2 linked regions of the Saccharomyces cerevisiae S288C genome follow. The protein of the gene in region 1 interacts with the protein of each later gene in a biochemical or structural test. Each region holds a gene or a part of one and is shown in the gene's direction. Other genes may lie near its edges. The genes, in order: GYP6 and YPT32.

Evidence for each region.
Region 2: the proteins of GYP6 (region 1) and YPT32 form a complex in vitro, tested with the Saccharomyces cerevisiae proteins (2 studies listed by BioGRID).

What each region holds. Positions count from the first base shown.
Region 1 is NC_001142.9:357,533-361,533, reverse strand, and holds GYP6 (GTPase-activating protein GYP6), read left to right. Parts: upstream 1-1,857; coding exon 1,858-3,234; downstream 3,235-4,001. Other genes in the region: MHP1 (Mhp1p), read right to left, coding at 1-285; YJL043W (uncharacterized protein), read right to left, coding at 631-1,404; succinate dehydrogenase SDH9, read right to left, coding at 3,606-4,001.
Region 2 is NC_001139.9:91,751-95,016, forward strand, and holds YPT32 (Rab family GTPase YPT32), read left to right. Parts: upstream 1-2,041; coding exon 2,042-2,710; downstream 2,711-3,266. Other genes in the region: VAM7 (Vam7p), read left to right, coding at 1-632; NCS6 (Ncs6p), read left to right, coding at 762-1,841.

The sequences.
Region 1 (4,001 bases):
AGCGTTAGCACGCTGATTATCCATTAGCAAGCTCGCAGCTACGGAGTGACGGCGTCCCTTATCGTTTGAAGAAAGAATGCTGCTGGAAGAGTCTACAGACGTTTCGAAAACGGGCGGGCGAGCAGTGTCCATCTGGATGTCAGGAGCCACACTGTTGGCCTTGGACTCGGATTTCCCTGGTCTGGAGCTCTTGCTGGTGGAGGCACTGGGCCTGACCAACCATCCAACGTCGATGCAGGGGATTCGGTGCTCCTTAAGCAACTTTTGCGTGTCCTTGGAGTCCATGGAGCAGTTGTAGGGCTATCTTGTATATTTTGCGTATTTAAGTGCGATTATGCGAGTGCCTGAGTGGTGTATATGTATGTACATATGAACGCTTTAAGGCAGAAGCTTGTTATATAAAGGAGAATGAGAACGCAGCATTTGCTTGTACAGCCAGATGCTTCGAGTGAAACACCGTTGCGTAAATTGAACCTGAACGTTCTAGATGCGAAAACAATACAATAAGCCAATAACGTAAACAGTCGCGCAGCACGAGGAAGGGGGGAGAGCAAGCTGTCCAGGACGGGTGAACATCGAACGGGGCCGACGGCCTAAAAGAGAAGCTGATGAAAAAAAAAAAGGCCCGGGCTACCATTGGAACAACGGGTCCGTAGTAGGTAGCGCACCCAACAGTGCCTCCAACTGCACCACACACTTGCGCTGTCGCCCTTTTGATGCTTCGTCTTCGTCCTCTATCTGCATGTTGTAATCAGACCCGTAGCGCGACCAAATGTCGTAGTCGTCAACATGCGGTGTGGCGTACACCAACTCCGGTGACGACGTCCAAAGTAGCTGCAGCGGCATTTCGCTCGCGTGCCTGATCTCACAATCATGCAGCACAGACCTTAGGTCCCTGGTGCTCATTGCAGTTTCGCCAATAAACAGCATGGGGATGATGATAGTCCGTGACTGTTGCCAGGGAAATCTCCACTTGGGTCGGTTGGTACAGCCTGTGTGTTTTACCGTTGATGGGCCCATGTAGTGGGACCAGTCATCCAAGAGCCTAGCATAGCTTTGACGTAGCGGCGCCGTCGCGGCGCCGCTTTCAAAGCTAGCCGGGTTGGCGATCTCGATGGGTATTATGGTGTTGCATTTCTGCAGGAGGTCGATACAGTCGGTGATCTGGTGTAGGGTCATCGCCATAGCAAACAATTTCTGCGTCAGTCCGGCAGTACGGCCACTAGCAAAGTCTTCGTCAGTAAGTGCCACAATGTCGTGGCACTTTGGTACTAGACTTTTCAGAATCTCCAATTGTTCGCTGATGGCTTCACAGCGCTGAAAACAGCAGTAAGTGTTGACCAACTTACCAAAAGATGCATTTATATCCGTGTAACGCTCCAGTCCGGAATAATCAACAAACATGGCTTGCGGTTTTCCTGAACACTCACCTTTTAGTATTCTTTTTTTCTTTTTTTTCTATTTTTTTTTCGACATAATTATTATTTTTTCTTGAATTATTTACTGACGCAAAGTTCTGACCACAGAAAAATTCCACGTCTTATTTTGCCCATGCCAGCCGTAGAATACGCACACGTGTACGCATGCTCCAAGTGTTATTGTAACTGGATGGTGCGCTGGTTTAGGCCTGTAAGCGGTCGTAAAGGAAAACCGGATATTATGTTACCCGCTTCTCCTACGGCATTACTAGTTCCTTTTTTTTTTTTTTTCAATTTTTCCATTGAGTTTTCCATAATCGGTACAGCAGCGTTTAATTTCATTACCTTTTTCAGAACAATGGGGGAGAGTTGTCAAGAGAATTGGCATACATAGAGAGGGTTAGCTGTCGTGCGTTTGTATTTTTTCGCTTATGCAACCATGAAGGATGTCTTACAATGGGCGATTGACCACTACGAGACAAGAGACCAACTGGTGCAGAAGGGAATTTGGAAAGGTGAACTCTACCATGACTCTATCTTTAAAGAAAATAGTAGAGGCTGGCTCTGGAAAGCTTTGCTTCTGTGTGATGAAAACAACAACTGCTTGTTAACTGATAACTTTAAAGGTTTGGACCTTAACCAGTTCGGCTTGGTGCCAGTGCCTATGCTGGCAGATGGCGACAACTATGACGAAAATCATAATGCAAATGTACCTAAAAGGGTCTTGCACTCGAACGTTTCCTCCTCAGTGGGAATCAGGAGGCTGACTCCCGTCGAGGCTGTTGAAAAACATCCCTTGTCTGATGACAATGACAAAACTAAAGGTTCTTTGTCCAAGGGAAGTGATGAAAAGCCGTTGACACTGAGGGAAACTCTGGAAATTATAGATTTGGACCTCTCAAGGATAATGCTTGACGATATATTTCAGGAACCCAAGGTTCATGCTCAAATGAGACAACTTTTGTACAATTACCTGCTTATACATCAAAGCGAACACCTACAGTATAAACAAGGGTTCCACGAAATATTAAGCGTCATTTATCTGCAATTATATCACGGTACAGATCTCGATAATACCGATTTGCAAAACGTTCTGATTATCTTTAACAAGCTAATGAACCAAATCGAACCGATTTTTTATAACGAAGAAAATTTGATTAACTGGGATAAGAGAGTATTCACGAAAATCTTTAGGATTTGTTTGCCAGACTTGTTTTCAAAGGTTTTTTACCAACCACCAAAAACGGGCAGCGGGAAGAAAAAAAACGTAGACCATCTGATTCACTCCAACCTAATCTGGCTCATCCGATGGACAAGGTTGTTATTTTTAAGAGAATTACCCTTAAAATATGTGCTAATCGTTTGGGACCACGTCCTGACGTTCAATTATCCCTTGGATATTTTCATTGCATGCACTATCATCACCCTTTTGTTATCCATTTACGATGAGCTTCACGAACTAGTGAGCCAAGGTGACTATGAACATACGAATAATAACGATGAATTTGTTGAATTGATTTTGCATTTCAAGAAAATTTTTGAAAAGGAAGATGCCAGTAAAGATGATGAAAAGTTTTTAGACCTGTGTAAGGTCACTGGAAATTTATGTGAATTGTGGTATGGAAAAAATTACGACGATATGAGATTGATTTGCGACACTTTTATAAATGCGAAGTTCGGCATAAAGACTAGTGATGTTTTAAGTATGGAAACAGCAAAGTTGACTATTGATCCTAATAGACAATCACTCGAAAACAAACTGAGGGAGAGGGTAAGGCAAACAATTTTGAAGAACAAAAAGAAAATAAGCCAATAAGTTTTTCTTGTCAATTACTCGTTGTTATTTGTTTGAAATCCCAGCCTGCACACCCGCACGACAAAATCAAAAAAAAAAAAAAAAAAACCCAGCTACCACCAACAAACAGATAGCCCACATGTCATATTTCCTAATGAGCTGGTTTCCCTCTGATATTTTTGCATATTGCAGCTCGACGTATATTGTACTTCAATGTCTTGCATAAAATTATATAGCATAATAGATAAGGTGTAAGTTGACAGTAAACGAGTACTATTGACCAAGAATCAATGAGAGAGATAGAGAGAAAAATAAGAAAAAAGGGAAAGATCATTTTTGCCAGATCAATAAATAAGTTTGCCCTCCAAAATAAATAAATAAATAAATAAGAATTAATAGGATCTGACAGCTGGAGGGACTGGGGCGCATTCATTCTCATCTAAAGTATGTGCGATTACATTCCTGTACTTGATTTTTACAGGTGTTGATGTCCCCTTTTGCCATGATAATGTGTGCTTTCTCCAATTCACATCATCTCTTTTTGCATAGTCCTCTCTCGCATGAGCACCACGAGACTCCTTTCTTTTGGAAGCAGAAACAGCCGTTTGTGTGGCACAAGTAAGTAAATTTTGCAATTCCAGAGTTTCTACGAGATCAGAATTCCAGATCATTGACTTATCAGAAACGTGCACATCCTCAAATGTCTTGTCCACTTCAGTAATATTTCTAACACCTTCATCTAGAGTGTCTTGCGTCCTGAAAACAGAAACATCTTTTTGCATTGTCCT
Region 2 (3,266 bases), on another chromosome or scaffold:
GATGGAGAGACACAAAAATAGCGCAAGACTTCCTGCAGTTGTCAAAGCCAAATGTTTCTCAAGAAAAGTCACAGCAGCATCTAGAAACTGCTGACGAAGTGGGATGGGATGAGATGATAAGAGATATTAAATTGGATTTAGATAAGGAGAGTGATGGCACACCCAGCGTGCGTGGAGCACTAAGGGCACGTACGAAGCTCCACAAGTTACGAGAGCGACTAGAACAGGATGTGCAAAAGAAGTCTCTTCCAAGCACGGAAGTGACTCGTCGCGCCGCTCTATTGAGGTCCTTGCTCAAGGAATGCGATGACATTGGTACAGCAAACATAGCTCAGGACCGTGGACGACTTCTGGGGGTTGCCACCAGTGACAACTCTTCAACCACGGAAGTTCAAGGAAGAACGAATAACGATTTGCAACAGGGGCAGATGCAAATGGTGCGCGATCAAGAACAAGAGTTGGTTGCACTGCACCGAATTATCCAGGCACAACGTGGATTGGCCTTAGAGATGAACGAGGAGCTGCAAACACAGAATGAGCTACTTACAGCACTTGAAGATGACGTCGATAACACTGGTAGGAGGTTACAGATAGCCAACAAGAAGGCTAGACATTTTAACAACAGTGCTTGAATTAATGAGTTACTATCCGGGTTACAAATCCTGAGAGTATATTTGTACTAAAAAAAAAAATTGTAAATCTAGTAATTGAAAAATTTTGGCGATGAGACGATATGGTAAGAGTAAAGCAAAGGAACCGTCATGTCGTTTACTGCTCCTTCAGATCCCGTCAATAAACCGACAAAAGTGAAGGTATCACAGTTGTGTGAACTATGTCATTCAAGAAAGGCTCTCATTAGAAGACCCAAAAACCTGTCTAAACTTTGCAAACAATGCTTCTGCCTCGTGTTCGAGACGGAGATCCATAACACTATTGTAGCAAATAACTTGTTTCAGAGGGGAGAAAAAGTAGCCGTGGGGGCCTCTGGTGGTAAAGACTCCACGGTGTTAGCGCATATGCTGAAGCTTCTGAATGACCGTTACGATTACGGCATTGAGATTGTACTGTTGAGTATTGACGAAGGAATCATCGGATACAGAGATGATTCCTTGGCCACGGTGAAAAGGAATCAGCAGCAGTATGGCCTTCCTTTGGAGATTTTTTCCTTTAAGGACCTCTATGATTGGACAATGGATGAGATTGTATCCGTTGCTGGTATAAGGAACAGTTGCACGTATTGTGGTGTTTTTAGAAGACAATCATTGGACCGTGGTGCTGCAAAGCTGGGCATATCTCACGTTGTCACCGGCCACAATGCAGACGATATGGCAGAGACAGTACTAATGAATATCCTACGTGGTGACGTAGCAAGATTGGAAAAATCGACTGCGATTATCACACAAAGTAGCGGCTCTCCCATCAAGAGATCAAAACCATTTAAATATTCTTACCAAAAGGAAATTGTCCTGTATGCGCACTACATGAAGCTGGATTATTTTTCCACTGAGTGTACCTATGCCCCAGAAGCGTTTAGGGGCACTGCGAGAGAATACATGAAGAATCTGGAAGCAGTGAGGCCCAGTTGCATTATAGACATCATCCAAAGTGGCGAAAATTTGGCATTAAAGGCTAAAAAATCTAACGCTGGAAAGAGAGTCGTCAAATTTGTTGACGGCAATAGATGCGCTAGATGTGGATATCTGTCGTCAAATAACATTTGCAAGGCGTGCATGTTGCTGGAAGGACTGGAGAAAAGTAGAGCCCAAGTGGCAATCGAGAATGACACTTCTGCCGATGGTGCAGCCTTGAAGCTGAGAGCTCTTGAGAAACTCAGCTTTTGACATATATATAGCTCGCAGTAGAAGAATGCAGCGTAACATAATATAATATAATATAGTACGGCGCGCCCTCCATTAGAACGCGCAACACAATAAAGACAAATAAAAGAATCAGCTATAAAGCTGGCCATTGCATGGTTCGCGCTGGAAAGAGAGGAAAAGCGTGGTGATAAAGAGCGAACCAAGCATATTGTTTTCCAAGAATGAGCAACGAAGATTACGGATACGACTACGATTATTTATTTAAGATAGTTCTTATCGGCGACTCCGGTGTGGGTAAATCTAATCTGTTGTCGAGATTTACAACCGATGAATTCAACATTGAATCCAAATCCACGATTGGCGTGGAATTCGCTACAAGAACCATTGAAGTTGAAAACAAGAAGATAAAAGCACAGATTTGGGACACGGCAGGTCAAGAACGTTACAGGGCCATCACGTCTGCGTACTACCGTGGTGCTGTAGGTGCACTTATAGTGTATGATATAAGCAAATCAAGTTCATACGAAAATTGCAACCACTGGCTTACCGAACTGAGAGAGAACGCAGATGACAACGTGGCTGTTGGGTTGATAGGGAACAAATCAGATCTGGCTCATTTAAGAGCAGTACCAACCGATGAAGCGAAAAATTTCGCAATGGAAAACCAAATGTTATTTACTGAGACAAGTGCTTTAAATAGTGATAATGTAGATAAAGCATTTAGAGAACTGATCGTAGCCATCTTCCAAATGGTAAGCAAACATCAAGTAGACTTAAGCGGGTCGGGTACCAACAACATGGGCTCTAATGGCGCTCCAAAGGGTCCTACCATCAGCTTAACACCGGCACCAAAGGAAGACAAGAAGAAAAAATCCAGCAACTGTTGTTAAAAATTTTGTGCCCTACTAAGGTCGCATGGTTTCATGCATATTCTGTCTACATATAACCCCCGTTAATAATGCTTTTATAAATATAATCAATTACATATACCTTCCCAAGTTATTTATTACTAACCTTCGTTGCACGCAAGAAAAAATGTATTAACGTACATACATTTTCTAAATAGACCTTTCCTGACGCCTGCATTTTGCAATAGCCGAAGATAAGAATATGATTTTTTTTTTACGATTTAAATATTCTGTTGTTGTGCAGTCTAAAAACACACGTGTATGTTTTTTTCCGCACGCATGAGCAGAATTAGACGGTTTTATAAACGTTCGCTCTGTGTATTTCACGTACCTTCCCGGATACAAATTTCGTCATGGTTTATATTGGAAGTTTTTCCGAAATTGCGGGTTTTGAAGGTTTATCCGAGACGACGTGAGGGGTAGGCAGGAGAAGGAAGGCTGTTTACGTACGCAAGGATGGGGTACGACAATGATTCAATTTCTGTTGCTAAGTTTTTTGTTATTTTTTCATATTGGCCTACTCATCTTTGATATCATT